Anolis sagrei: one gene and its partner. The protein of the gene in region 2 interacts with the protein of the main gene of each other region in a pairwise test. Links are inferred from orthologs where the notes say so. Each region holds a gene or a part of one and is shown on either strand. Other genes may lie near its edges. The genes, in order: TTC23L and MIA2.

Region 1 (8,010 bases), on a different chromosome or scaffold from region 2:
TTGCCTTTGCCTTCCCCAGAGGCTGAGAGAGAGTGACTTGCCTGAAATCACTCGGTGTTACAATTCCCAACATTCCCTACCCAAACTCAGCTTGTTTCCAAGTGAAGCTGCATTACAACATGCCACAGAGGATGAGACAGGCAGAGAGTGAAAGCAAACCCTAAAAAATACAAACAAATTATTGCTATGTGAGACCTAAGAATGAATTTTTACATCTCTGATTCCATTCTAATCATAGAGAGGTATCAGTCATGCACCAAAGTGCTGTTCCAGCAGTCACCAGCCGTCCCCTCTCCAATGCCAGAGATACAGCTTAATGGTGTAACATTAGAAAATGTCGACCATTTCCGCTACCTTGGCAGCCACCTCTCCACCAAAGTCAACATCGACGCCGAAATACAACACCGCCTGAGCTCTGCAAGTGCAGCATTTTCCCGAATGAAGCAGAGAGTGTTTGAGGACCGGGACATCCGTAGGGATACTAAGATGCTTGTCTATAAAGCTATTGTCCTCCCAACCCTGCTATATGCCTGTGAGACATGGACTGTCTACAGACGTCACATGCAGCTCCTGGAACGATTCCATCAGCGCTGCCTCCGGAAAATCCTGCAAATCTCCTGGGAAGACAAGCGGACAAACGTCAGCGTGCTGGAGGAAGCAAAGACCACCAGCATTGAAGCGATGGTCCTCCAACATCAACTCCGCTGGACAGGCCACGTTGTCCGGATGCCTGACCACCGTCTCCCAAAGCAGTTGCTCTACTCCGAACTCAAGAACGGAAAACGGAATGTTGGTGGACAGGAAAAGAGATTTAAAGATGGGCTCAAAGCCAACCTTAAAAACTCTGGCATAGACACTGAGAACTGGGAGGCCCTGGCCCTTGAGCGCTCCAGCTGGAGGTCAGCTGTGACCAGCAGTGCTGCAGAATTCGAGGAGGCACGAGTGGAGGGTGAAAGAGAGAAACGTGCCAGGAGGAAGGCGCGTCAAGCCAACCCCGACCGGGACCGCCTTCCACCTGGAAACCAATGCCCTCACTGCGGAAGAAGATGCAGAGCAAGAATAGGGCTCCACAGCCACATGCGGACCCACAAGGAAACCCATGATGGAAGACCATCTTACTCGTCCAACGAGGGATCGCCTAAGTATCAGTCATGCTTTTCTAAGACAAGGGAATACAACTAGAATTGCTCCAGGGTAAGCTATATTTCAACTGTTTCCTTGATACAATTGCTCCAAGGCCCAGTGCAGTAGGAAAAATGCTCATCAATACTTTGTAAGAACCTCATCACACTGGAGAATGAATCCACTTTAAATCTGGTTTCTGCCACCTGCAGAATTGTGGGGTTTATAGTTTAGGGAGGTTGTTAAAGGCTCCTCCCTAAACTACAAACCCCAGAATTCTGCAGGTGGCAGAAACCAGATTTAAAGTGGATTCATTCTCCAGTGTGATTAAGTACTTTGTGTCATTTAAAATGAATTTTAATGTTTTATGTTCATGACATGCAAGATGTAATTGTACTGTTTTTATTTTAGTTTCACATTTTAATGCATTTGCCCAGTTTTAATTATTTTGTGTCATGCCAGCCTTTTTGAGTCTCAGTATTGGGAGATGAGTGGGATAAAAATAAAGCAAATAATAAATTAAGACTTTGGGTATATCCACATTACACCATTATAACATTTTGAAATCACTTTAACTTGTTCTGGCTGGGTGCAACGGAATCCTGGGAGTTGTAGTTTTGCTGAGGAAATTGAAAGGGGCTATAGTGTTCAGGGATTGGAGAATACTTAATATCTTCCTAAACTACCAATTCTACAGATCATTAGGAAAAAGCCATGGTATATAAAGTGGAATAAAATTGTTATTCTTGTGCAGTGTGGAAACCACATTGGATCTCATCAGTGTTTTATGCTACTTGAGTAAGTAAGGAAAATGCATTTGATTAGTCTGCAGTAATTGAAAACATCCTCACATGTAATTTTCTGTCACTGTCTTTTGTACTTGCTTCCTTATTAATGCATTCATTTATTTTGCTTCTATGCCACACATGTGAACAAGGGGTCCCAATTTCCGTAATTCCTCTTGGCCTTAATTGCCTTTATTTGGCTTTCTCTTCAGAAGTTACAACTGATGTCAGGATCAAATTGTATCTCTTTTTCCGTATTTTGTTTAGAACAACCTGTGGATGCTTTACCTTGGAGCACAAGATAGCCGTGAGCAAGGTTGGCAAATGCTTGCCCCAACCGCCAGTGCCCATTTCCATAGATAATTCGAGTGAGAGCAATACATTGGATTAGTTCTTTGCAGGCATTTTGTGCCTGGGGAAAAGAAAAAGATAACATACAAATTAGATTTGTTGTGAAAAATAAAACATGTGAGTGGGTTGCTGTGAGTTTTCTGGCCATGTTCCAGAAGACCTCCCAACCTCTGAAGATGCCTGCCATAGATGTGGGCAAAACGTTAGGAGAGAATGCTTCTGGAACATGGTCATACAGCCCAGAAAACACACAGTAACCCAGTGATTCCGGCCATGAAAACCCTCAACAACACATAAAACATTTGAGGCCGGAGGAAAGTGTGTATTTTTCTTTCCCAACTCAGGGCATCATTGCATGATGCTGTTCTCCTGCAGCATTTACACAATCACGGATATGCCTTGCATGGACATTGTGCTTGACCCCCCTCTGTCTTCCACAAATTCGCAGCTGTTATTCCTTCCTTCATCTTGATCTCACAACAACCCACTGAGTCTCGTGGCCGATTGGACATTTTGATTCCAAATCTTGATCCCTCTTAAAGATTTAGAAACCACTCGTATCATCCCTCCCATTCCTTGAGGGAAACCTGAGCAAATGTTAAAAGCAACTCTTATTCTAACGCTTCTACATCGTTGAACCCGTCAGCTTGTATCACTGTGCACATGAAAAGGGAAATGTTACCTCTTTTTCTTCAGCAAACCTGTCTGCCTTTTTCTGTGCTTTCATTAACTTATCTAGCGGTGTAGCAAACAGCTTGAACTTCATTTCCTCTCCTTCACAGTTGCCCTTAATTTCCTCCATGTGTTCGATCGTTTCTTATTCTGTAGTCTTAAATGTTATAAAATTGGAGTTAACAACTAAGAGTCAACAGACCAAAAATGTCCTTTCTGCAGAGGAGTAGCAGTCACTACTTCAGAGACAAATAACTCAAGCCGACAAGGATTTTTCATCAGATATAATTTTCAGTCATTCTTATAGAGTTTTTCACACTGAATGAAGATCTGTGTTTAGGTTTTTCTCTATCATATGTAGAGAAGACAATTATGCTGGTGAAAGTGGAAAGTAAAAGGAAGAGGGGCCGACCAGGGGCAAGATGGATGGATGGCATCCTTGAAATGACTGGACTGACCTTGAAGGAGCTGGGGGTGGTGACGGCCAACAGGGAGCTCTGGCGTGAGGTGGTCCATGAGGTCACGAAGAGTCGGAGACAACTGAACGAATGAACAACAATGTAGTTTCTGCAATGAGGCAAATCAAATAATTAATGCATTTACACACCGATATCAATAGAATCTAATTATTCAATTAGCTTCATTGTAATAGAGAAAAAATAAACACAGATCTGCATTCCGTGTGAAAAACTCTATAAGAATGATCTAAAATTATATCTGATGGAAAATACTTGTTGGCTTGTGTTACACGAATATGATGTGAAATGTGCAGACTTTACAGTAGTCCACTATAATGCACCATTCATCATATTAAAAAAATTGATGTGATAAAAAAGACATTTTTAAAATCAGCATAAAAATTGATTTAAACTGTGCTACTCTCATTTCTGATGATTACAAAAAGTTAGATTTTGTTGGATTGTGTAATTGTCATTATAAAGAGAACTAACAGTTCAGTTGTGGTTTGGATTAACCTCTGGATTCAACCACGTTTGTATAAATGACTTTCTGACAAAGCTATCAATTGAGGTAAACTATATGATCACCACCTTAAAAAAGTGGCTGAAATTAAAATGAATACATGCTTCTTTTTTGGAAACTCTGCACCACATGCCTGAGATGGAAGCAGTGGTGTTACCTGCAAATGGTGGGCAAAGAAAAGGAACAAGTGGTTGGAGTGCTGGCAGATGAAATATACAATAGTTGGGCAAAAGATAAACTTTTAGTGGAATAACCTCTGGGAAAAACATACTCATGTGGGAGTATCTCCAACCCAACTAAAAGTACCACCTCTTTACATCCAAGAAAATTCAGCCACCTTTTCAACCTGTTCCAGCAAGTTCAATGCCTCCATCCACTCCTTCTGCTCCAGCTCATCCCTTTTGCTCCCCACTCCACCAAAATTGCCACTTTCTTACTCCTACAAGAAAACAGCCACCTTTTAAATCTGTTCCCAGTGAATCCATGACCAAATAAGAATTTGAAAGTATGTTGCTGGTTGATGTCCTTAGTTTTACTGAGTCTGAATGTGCATATGTGTTTTATCTCATTGTACTTTATATTCTGCTTCATTTTTATGTTTGTTTTTAGGCACTTTGTAAGCTGCCCACAGTCCCTTCGGGGAGATGATGGCGGGATATAAGAATAAAGTAGTAGTAGTAGTTGTTGTTGTTATTGTTGTTGTTGTTGTTATTATTATTATTATTATTATTATTATTAGTAGTAGTAGTAGTATTGCTGTTTCAAACCCAGCACTAAGAAACATCATCATCATCATCATCATCATCATCATCATCATCATCATCATTGCTGTTTCAAATCCAGCACTAAGAAACATTATTCTACTGGTTCTCTTGTAAGAGCAGTTCTGGTCGAAGCTGACCATGGAGTCACTCTGAAGACTGTAGAGATTTCTAGTGAGAAAATTTAAATCAAATCCTCAAATGATCACATTCAAAAAGGTCAAACCTGCAAATGTGGAGGACTGATTATATTGCTCTGGAAGAACTTTTTTTTGTACATATGAGTAATCTAGATCTGCGTCATTTGGGAAAGGTTGGACTAGATCATGGCACAGCTAGTTAGTAGCCAGCTGTATTAAATCACTACTGATCAAGAGGTCATGAGTTTGAAGCCAGCCTGGGTCGGAGTGAGCTCCTGATCATTAATAGTCTACTTGCTGTTGACCTATGTAGCCCGAAAGACAGCTGCATCTGTCAAGTAGGAAATTTAGGTACCACTTTATGCAGGGGAGGCTAATTTAGCTAATTTACAACACCATAAAACCTTCCAGCAGCATGTGTAAGAATGAGGAAGTACTCCATCAAGGACTCGATGTCACAAGTGGACGGTGAAGTGGCAGCTCCTCCTGTGGCCGAAATCAAGCATACCCTCATGAAGCTGGAAAGTTGGAATGTTAAATTGCCTCTGTGTCTGTCTATATATGTTGTATGTCTATGACACTGAATGTTTGCCATGTATATGTGCATTGTAATCCTCCCTGAGTCTCCTACAGGGTGAGGAGGGTGGAATATAAATACTGTAAATAAAATAAATAAAATAATAGTATCTATTGCTGGGGTTGGATCATAGTTCAGTGACAAAGCACAAGCTTTGAATGCAAATCTTTCTTGGTAGAATCATTGGAAAACTCAGTTTAAGAGATGTTGGCAGAAGTCTCTGGGTAAGGCCTTGTTTTAGATGGCACTGGACTGGCATCTGCATGCAACTGAAGTTTGCTCCAAAGTCAGGGCAAGGTCTTGCAGTTCACAGATTTGCTGTCACCTTGAGCTTTTCCATTGTATCCACAGTCTCTCTTCTAAATCTATAGAAACTGCATGCCCTTGATCTCCAAACTTTGTAAGAATGGTCCCAATCCCCATCCTTTTTGCATATCCCCTCTTCCACGTTGGATTATGAAGATGGTTTCATCCCAACCCTATAGTTGCAGGGCGGAAATTGCTAAAGCTATTTACATTAAAGAATTACTATGTGAAACAAATAGCAGTTTCAAGGAATGGTAGCTTTTTAAAGCCATTTGTGATGTTAGGAAGATTTTTGGGTTGTTGTAGCATTTTCAGGCTATATGGCTAGAAGCATTTTCTCCTGACTTTTCATCTGCATCTATGGCAGGCGTCCTCAGAGGTTATGAGGTCCACAACCTCTGAGGATGCCTGCCATAGATGCAGGCAAAACGTTAGGAGAGAATGCTTCTAAAACATGGCCATATAGCCCAAAAAACCTACAACAACCCAGTGGTTTTGGCCATGAAAGCCTTAGACAGTACAAGGAACATTTTTATTTGACTCCTGCTCTCTGACCCAGTGTTGGTTTTCTCTCTCAGCATCTTTTCATATCCATGTTCCCCTTTCTAATATACTAAATATAAAAGCTGTTCCTGGAATGGTATCAAACACCCTAATTTTGATTCCCAACAAGGAAATTGGCTCAGAAGAAGTTCCTCCTACCTCTGCACCAGGCCAGGAACAGAGTGAAAAGACCTCTTCCCCTCACTTGCCTTTGGCCTCTGGTAGCCCTTTGTAGGGTTCACTTTCACTGGGCACGCAAGGCAAAGGGCATCTTGTTCCTTTCCCACAGCAAATCCAAGGTCCCCCTTCCAAGCCGTAGCCAGGGTGACAGCTTGTTGCCGGAGTTGTCCTGGTGACAAAATGCTTTCCTCACGCTTGAAAGAGAGTGCCTTTCTTTCCTTTGTAACCAGAAGCAATTGAACTCAACGGAGCTGGCAGGCTGTCCTCTGTGATGGATCATTAGAACAAAAAAGCAACACTATTTGAGCCATTGAGTCTGTTAGGCCCACTTCCAAATCCAAGCTGTATTTTATTTTCACAAGAATGTTGTAAGGATGTTTGCTTATGGTCTGTCTGTCTTTGCATACACGCAATTGGTATGGTCCAAACACAGCCAGGCAAAATGCAATTTGGAGAGCAGAAAAAGGTTCAAGTTAAAATTTGATATCCTTGGTAACCAACCTTCTATGTACAGTTGGCATCCCATATTTGTTAATTTCACTGTTTGTGAATTTGATTATTTATATGTTTAATTTATATGTTCTCTCAAGGAATCTCTCTCAATGTACTATTCATGGCTGCAATCACAGGGTTGTTATGTGTTTTCCGGGCAATATGGTCATGTTCCAGAAGCATTCTCTCCTAATGTTTCACCTGCATCTATGGCAGGCACCCTCAGAGGTTGTGAGGTCTGTTGGTTGTATTTATTTATTTATCGTGTCATCTGCAACCAGAACAATGTTCTGTTGGTTGTGAGGCCTAGCGGCTTTCAAGGTCAAGCTTCTTACTGCCTGGGGGAATACTTTGTTGAAAAGTGATTAGCTGGCCCTGATTGTTTCTTGTCTGGAATTCCCGTTTTTGAGTGTTGCTCTTTATTAACTGTTATGATTTTAGAGTTTATAGGTATAAATACGTTATAGGTATAAAAGTATAAAAATCAAACAGTTACTGATAATAAATCAGCATCAGCAAGGCTTGCTAAACAAGGTTTTTCTTTTTCATGGAGTACAGCTGAAGTATTTTCTGCAGAGTCTGCTGTAAATACTGCATGTTATGCTTAACACATTTGTGTAAATGTGTGGTGTCCAAAAAACTTTTACGGTTAACAAAATTTTTATGACCCCAACACTGAGCTAAGTGGACCCCTTTTTGGGTCTGGACCCACAGTTTAAGAAGCAGTGCTCTAGAGCTTCCTAGAAAGAACATTTATGTAGACATTTGAATGTTTTTAAATGCAGTGTGTTGTCAAAGGCTTTGATGGTCAGAATCAATGGGTTGCAGTGAGTTTTCTAGGCTGTATGGCCATAGTCCAGATGCATTCTCTCCTGGTGTTTCACCCACATCAATGGCAGGCATCCTCAGAGGTTGAGAGGTCTGTTGGAAATTAGGCAAGTGGGGTTTACATATCTTTGGAATGCCCAGGGTGGGAGAAAGTACTCTTGTCTGCTTGAGGCAAGTGTGAATGTTGCAGTTGGCCACTCTGATTAGCATTTGATGGCCTTGCAACTTCAAAGTCTGGCTGGTTGCTGTCTGGGGGAATCCTTTGTTGGGAG
Region 2 (8,059 bases):
GCCTTTGCTGTCCACTAGAGTTTGGTCCCAGAGCCCCGTGTGAACACCAAAATCCCCAGATCCTCAAGCCTTTCTCTCCCTTTCCCTCCCCCCCCTCTATATATAGGTTAAGGTTTCCCATAACATTAAGTCTAGTCATGTCTGACTCTGGGGGGTAGTGCTCATCTCCATTTCTAAGTCGAAGAGACGGCTTTGTCTGTAGACCCCTCCAAGTTCATTTGACCGGCATGACTGCATGGAGTCCCATTACCTTCCCACTAAAATGGTACCTCTTGATCTACTCACATTTGCATGTTTTCGAACTGCTAGTTTGGCAGAAGCTGGGTCTAACAGTAGGAGCTTACCCTGCTCCTTGGATTTAAACCGCCAACCTTTCACTGAGCAAGTTCAGCAGCTCAGCAGTTTAACCTGCTGCACCACCAGGGGGTGATATATATATATATATATATATATATATATATAGGTGTAGTACAATAATGTCCCTTATATGTTTTTTTTTATTTTTAACAAATACATATTTCAAAGCCATGAATGGTTGAATTTGTGGATACAGAATCCATGGATATAGTGGGCTGACTGTACAAGGAATATGATATCTTACAGAAGGGCAGGGTTAACCATTATGCAAAGTAAGCACATGCTTAGGGCATCGAAGGAAGGGAGCACTACAGAAATTTTCCATTGCCAGATTCACGATCCACCATATGCCAATGATGCAGCTGAACCAGGTTCCACAAAAGGGGCTCCCACAATAAAAGAATTTGCAATTAGAAAATGTAGGGGGGGGGGGGACCCTACTAAATATAAATAATGTGGAAGTATAGAAAAGTTAACATTACTAATATTCTCCATGGAATATTATTTGACTTATTCATGGATCATATACATGCCCATAAATCTATCCCCAAAAGCTGTCCTCAATTTCTATATGAGCTTGATGTATACATGAGTATATATATGGTAGTTTATCCTATAGCATTGAAGTCATGTAGAGCATTAGCTTCTTTTCCCAGCACAATTACAATTTGGAATGTAAACAGTGCCTTCTGCATTACTCTTCCCAGGAGTACCCTTGTTTCGATCTGTGAAATGTTTCCAGGCATACTATATGTCTACTACCTGTCTACTCCTTCCTTAACATTTGATGGCTCAACTTGACTAATAGGAATCCAGGAAGGTCTGTGTAATTTGTCTCTGTGCATGAACTGGGGTGCCCAGACCAAATTTCTAGGGTTACTATAAGGCCAGAGAGCAGGAATGAGTACCTACCAATTATACTGATGGACATTGCATCAGTATATTAATCCTACAGATCAGGACGGAGTCTCCCATTGATCCTTGCCAGTGTAGCCAGTTATGAAGAATACTAGTTATTCAAGTCCAACAGCTGGAGGACTGTATCTTTGACTCTAGCACAATCCTTTCTTCAGCCCACTATAATTAATTAAGACAGTTAAGTGTGTATAAAGTTAAGTTAGACAAACTGCCAGAACAGGCAAGGTAGAGTCTATAAAAGAATGATGGGCCAACACACCTAACATATAGTGTAAGTTGGTCAGACAAACAAATTACATATATTTGTTAAACAATCATTCCTGTAAAGTATAACTCTTTGCCAGCCACATGACCTTAGAGGTGTCTACGGACGACGCCGGCTCTTCGGCTTAGAAATAGAGATGAGCACCAATCCCCAGAGTCAGACACGACTGGACTTAATATCAAGGGAAAACCTTTACCTTTATGTAGGGATGACACTGAGATAGTTTAAAGCAGTGTTTCTCAACCTGGGTTCAGGACCCCTGGGGGGTCGCGAGGGGGTGTCAAAGCGGTCACCAAAAACCATCAGAAAACACAGTATTTTCTGTCGATCATTGGAGTTCTCTGTGGGAAGTTTGTCCCAATTCTCTTGTTGATGGCCTTCAGAATGCTCTTTGATTGTGGGTGAACTATAAATCCCAGTAACTACAACTCCCAAATGTCAAGGTCTATTTTCCCCAAACTCCATCAGTGTTCACATTTGGACATATTGAGTATTTGTGCCAAGTTTGGTCCAGATACATCATTGTTTGAGTCCACAGTGCTGTCTGGGTGTAGGTGAACTACAACTCCAAAACTCAAGGGCAATGCCCACCAAACCCTTCCAGTATATTCTGTTGGTTGTGGGAGTTCTGTGTGACAAGTTTGGCTCAATTCCATTGTTGGTGGAGTTCAGAATGCTCTTCGATTGTAGGTGAACTATAAATCTCAGGAACGCCAACTCCCAAATTATAAAATAACCCCCCCCCCCATCCCAACCCCACCAGTATTCAAATTTGGGCATATGGGGTATTTGTGGCCAATTTGGTCCAGTGAATGAAAATACATCCTGCATATCAAATATTTACATTGCGATGCATAACAATAGCAACATTACATTTATGAAGTAGCAACAAAAATAATTTTATGGTTGGGGGTCACCACAACATGAGGAACTGTATTAAAGGGTTGGGGCATTAGGAAGGTTGAGAACCACTGGTTTAAAGCTTTCTTAGCAGGCTTCTTTTTTCCTAACTGAACTTTGTCCTTTCCCATAAACAACACCATAAATTAACCCAATGGCTTCACAAAAACAATTCTTCTTCCACAATTGTTGTGTTTAAAACATATAGAACAATCTCTTCTTAAACCTTGTTTGATCAGAATTTAAGGTACATACTGAGTTTCAAATAAATTTGTTGCTGTATTTTATTTTTAATTTGCATTTTATGTAAATCACAGATCTTTGTACTTACTTTCGCATTCTGGGTCGCCACACTTTTTCCGGTCTGACAATACCTTTTCACTCCTGATGTTGGTTAGCGACGAAATAAGTAGTAGAAAAAACCTGACCTCACAATTCATCACCATCCTAAAAACTGAATTATGATAATCCTAAAAGAATTAAAAATACTTTTTGTCAAGAATTTAGTAACTTAGATAATTCCTTTCCTTATTTAGTTAACGTCTTTAGTCTGTGTTCCTTTTCTCGTCGAACTCTGATTGCAGAAATGCCCTCTCAGCAATCTGCCAAGTCAACTGTCCTGATTAAGCAAATTAATAATTAACTACATTTGATAACAGAGGCTAGTATTTTGAAACAGAAAAGGCGTTTTCAGTCAAGTGATGGAATCCATATATTCTAATTAAGGGTACTTTATGGGAAATTGTGAGGAGACAGATACAAAATGATTAAAGACACTAAACAAAACCAGTGATCACTGTTGTGTACCTTCAAGTCATTTCTGACTTATGAGGATCCTAAGGCAATCTTATCACAGAGGTTTGTTTGACAAGATTTGTTCAGAGGGGGTTTGCCTTTGCCTTCCTTTGAGGCTGAGAAACTATGACTTTCCCAGAGGGTTTCCATGGATCAGTAGAGATTCAAAGCCTGCTCTCCAGAATCACGCCCCCAGCACTCAAATCAGTGAACTACAACATAGATACTTTATTATAATGGCCAGAATCACTGGGTTGTTGTAGGTTTTTCGGGTTATATGGCCATGTGCAAGTAGCAGTCTTTCCTGATGTTTCGCCTGACGTTTCGCCCCTTATGAACCATCTAGGATCTTAAGATTGTCTGGGGAGGCCCTGCTCTAAATTCTGCCTTTGTCATAAGTATGTCTGGCGGGGACGAGAGACAGTGTCTTCTCAGTGGTGGCCCCTTGGCTATGGAGAGATCTCCCTAGGGATATCAGATCGGCCTTCTAAAAATTATCATGAAATGACTTCTTCCAGGGAGCTCACAGTGAAGTTATTTTATCATCACCACAACCAGATGAGACAAGAAAGGTGAGGACTACTGAGTTTACCAATATTACCTTATGAGCATGGAGATGTGGATACATTACATCGAGGATTCACTTGAACTTTTATTTTCCATTATGCCTTACCACCTGATCATATTAATTCCTTTAAAAAATCAGATTTTGCAATGTTGTCTGAGTCTAGATATGACCTGTGATCAGTGGAAGAGAGAAGAGGAAGAATACAAGCGAGTGGGGAGAGAGGGAAACACAGCGTATTTCATGAAGAATTTAGAGACAAAACTGGAATATCCAGATTAATTTTAAAAAGTGTGACATTTCAATGCTTCTAAATATTTTTTCCCTTGTGGATTAACCCAATTTACAAATGGGTATGTGTTGTGTTGGTTCACTCACCTTTGTTTGTTCTAGTCAGTGTTTTCCTTTCTCCAATCTAGTTTTTTCTCCAACTGTCTTTTCCAACTCTTTTTCTTTCTCCTTTCAGACCTGCCTTCCCATTGGTCAACACAGCATTCCAAATTACATGCGATTATTGCGCACGTGGGGGGGGGGGGGATTATACGAGTTGAATCAGAAACAGGTAAAATGTCAATTGGTTTGAGAATTACAATTTGGTTTTTATGACTGTTTATGATCAATTTATAATCCACTATCACATTCTCCCTCGGTATCTATTAGGATTTCTAGACTACTCTTAAAATGAGAGAAGCAAACTTTTGGGAAACTTTTTGAAACAAAACCATTGTTTTTAGATTAATTGCAAGATTAAACTTCATCCCGATCATACCTTTTTATGTTCTTTGAAGACTTTCCTCTTATAATTGCTAAGGTTTCTATGGTGTAACCATTTTTATTATGTAACTATATTGTTTTTATGTGTTGTCAAAGGCTTTCATGGCCTGAGTCACTAGGTTGCTGTTAGTTTTCCAGGCTGTATGGCCATATTCCAGAAGCATTCTCTCCTGACGTTTCACCCACATCTGTGACAGGCATCCACAGAGGTTGTGAGGTCTCACAATCTCTGAGGATTCCTGCCATAGATGTGGGCAAAACGTTAGGAGAAAATGCTTCTGGAAAACTCACAGCAACCCAGTATATTGTTTTTATATTATTTACTGGTTTTATAACAAGATTGCCTTTCACCTTCTTATCTATTGCTCAAATAAACCTTACATGTGCTTTACTTGAGTGTGCAGTTGGTTCTAGGATCATTCTCCCATTGTAATTGGAGGCATAAACCAATGTTGGTAAGCAGCTTCCTTTAAAGCAACTTGGATACCAGTTTCCAAGTTCCAAATTACAGGGTTGTTGTTCTTTAACTGAATTTCAACAGAAAGGAAGAAACCATGAAAATGAACAAAATCTGGCTACCAGTATTAACAAACTCTAAAATTATAACAGTAAATAAAGAACAACACTCAAACACAGGGGAACTCCAGAGACGAAACAAGCAGGGACAGCTAATAAAATCTCAACAAAGTATTCCCCCAGGCAGTAACAAGTCACACCTAAAAACTGTCAGGCCATTGAATGCTAACCAAGGTGGCCAATTGAAACACACCTAGCTCCAACAGACAAGAGTGCTTTTTCCACCCTGGACTTTCCACAGATATATAAACCCAATGTTCCTGGTTTCCAACAGACCTCACAACCTCTGAGGATACCTGCCATAGATGCAGGCGAAACCTTAGGAAAGACTGCTTCTGGAACATGGTCATACAGACCAAAAACCTACAACAACCCAGTGATTCCAGCCATGAAAGCCTTCGACAATACATTCCAAGTTACTCTTGATACACAGAGCTGTTTGAATTGCAATCCTCCATGTTTACCTAGGAAAAAATACCTTCAAACTAAATTAATCCCATTCTAGGAGTCTCTAAGATGTGCAAGTCTCTTTTAGCTCATTTCTCTCTTCTATTTTATGTATCCTCCTAAAGAGGGAATTTTCTATTTGAGATGGCTTTAGTAGATGATTATACAATTTCAGACAGGTATAATGACTTTTATTTTAGAGTATTTTAGGCCTTTTATCACATAAGGCTAGAAATCTGCAGTACCTTCTTTGGCTGGTAATTATCACATGATGCTATTTCTCCTTTGTTTGCATTCTATTATTTGTAACTGTCGAAAAACCTATCAATGGCTCCCAATATTGCTTCTGTTTAACATTGACTCTTGTGTGATCAGTAACTTTGGCAACAGTTTCAATATCCTAGCAATTTCCTCCTCTCCTGCTTGCTATTTCCAAGTAGGATGAAGGAGGAAGTTTATGCAAGAGTGATCATAGGACTGTGATTGCTAAAGGAAGGCCATAGCTCGATTGCAGCGAAGTGTAATGTCTTCCATGAGGTATGTTTCCATTGGCTTAAACAACACGATTGCCACAAGATAATTGGTGTGATAATGTCTTTAGGAAAAAAAACTCCTTTGTCTTTAACAATACTTATATAGTAAATAAATAACCTGCTTCATGAGACTGTTTTAAAAATTGAGGCTTCATTTTTGTGAATCTAACATAAAATAAAATGCTTACGAGGTACTTATTGAAGCAGAGAACTGCTTCTTTACATCAAATACTCCTTGATGCCATACGTGCCAACACATATGACAAGTGGCACTCTGCCATGCCTTGTGTGATAATCTTTCCAGGGAGATATGCCTAGTGTCCATATTAACACCATTTATGCACTGTACCAATGCCGACCTGTCGTCTCAGAAAACCAGTGGGTGACCTTGAGCTAGTCACACTCCCTCAGAAGGCAATGGCTAATGTCCCCTGAATAAACTTTGCTAGGAAACCAGTGTTGCTATAGGTTGAAATTGTCTCCAAAAACAGATTCTCCACCCCATCTCAAGACACTTCACTGGCTGTGAGTCTGCTACTGAGCACAATTCAAAATGCTGCCTTTAGCCTATATATCCCTAAATGTTTCCGACCCAGCTTACATGTCTGAACATACCTCCATGATCCACCACGGAGACGAATGTCGGAGGAAGAACTGCTCTCGATCCCATTGGTGGGGATGAGAGACAGGGCCTTTTCAGTGGTGGCCCCTCTTCTATGGATTGGCCCCCTCCCTAATGGCCTTCAGAAAAAAACTAAAAACATGGCTTTGGGATCAGGGCTTTGGTCAGTAATGGGAGCAGCTAATAAATTAACATTGACAACTCAGACTGGCCCCAGATTGTGCGATGTTAAATTGTTGCCTAATGTGATGTTTTAACTGGTTGGTTTTAATGTTTATTTATCAACGTGTACACTCAGCATTGAATTGTTGCCTTTGTAAGGCTGCCCCGAGTCCCCTCCGGGGTTGAGAAGAGCAGGATGTACTGTATATACTCAAGTATAAGCCTAGTTTTTCAGCAATTTTTTATGTTCACAATTAAAACTTGTGCGCCAGCTGTGCCCGTACCTTGGGAAGTCAGCCTTGGCCACGGTGGTTCACGCTCTTTTTACATCCAGGATAGACTACTGCAACGTGCTCTACATGGGACTGCTTCAAATAGTCAAGAGAGGCAGCCAGGTTAATAACTGCGGCAGCATATAGGGAGCCCACAACTCCGTTATGCCAGATCCACTGGCTGCTTTTTTGCTACCAGGCACAATTCAAAGTGCTGGCTTTGGCCTATAAAGCCCTAAACGGCCCCGGCCCAGTTTACCTGTCTGAACGCATCTCCCTTTACAAACCACTGCGAAAACCAAGATCTTCTGGGGAGGCCCTGCTCTGTCCTGCCATCACAGGCATGTTTGGCAGGGACGAGAGACAAGGCCTTCTCAGTGATTGCCCCCTGGTTATGGAACTCCCTTCCTGGAAATATTAGGTCAGCCCCCTCCCTCCTGTCCTCGGAAGGATGGTGAAGACCTGGCTGTGGACCAAGCCTTTGGGGCAGTCCAGTGAGGCAATAATTGAATTGTGCGGAAATGGTTTTTAAGCAACTGATTTTAAAGTGCATATGCGAGTTTAATGTTTTTATATATTTATGGTTTCATGTCCTGGCATTGAATGTTTGCCATACATATGTTGTGCCTCACCTTGAGTCCCCTGCGGAGTGAGAAGGGCAGAATATACATGTTATAAATAAATTAATAAAAAGGCCCCCTTGGCTTATACTTAAGTGAGGGTCCTGGCAGGAAGTCGTGGGGCTGAAAGAAACCCTTTGCTGGGCTTCTACCAGCTATGTGCCTCCTCTCCTTTCAGCACAGTAACCCAGCTGGATGTCTGTGCGAAGAGGAAGGTGCACGGCCTCTCCTCTCGGCACAGCAACCCAGCTGG

Evidence for each region.
Region 1: the proteins of MIA2 (region 2) and TTC23L interact in binary tests that used the Homo sapiens proteins (3 or more experiments, as listed by UniProt). The two-hybrid records come from large-scale screens. The link is inferred for Anolis sagrei from reciprocal best matches to the Homo sapiens genes MIA2 and TTC23L.

The regions. Positions count from the first base shown.
Region 1 is NC_090022.1:280,073,470-280,081,479, forward strand, and holds the start of TTC23L (tetratricopeptide repeat protein 23-like), read right to left. Parts: upstream 3,073-8,010; 5' UTR 3,061-3,072; coding exon 2,941-3,060; intron 2,320-2,940; coding exon 2,196-2,319; intron 1-2,195.
Region 2 is NC_090021.1:303,593,930-303,601,988, reverse strand, and holds the start of MIA2 (melanoma inhibitory activity protein 2), read right to left. Parts: upstream 3,013-8,059; 5' UTR 2,887-3,012; coding exon 2,772-2,886; intron 1-2,771. UniProt on the Homo sapiens protein: Plays a role in the transport of cargos that are too large to fit into COPII-coated vesicles and require specific mechanisms to be incorporated into membrane-bound carriers and exported from the endoplasmic reticulum.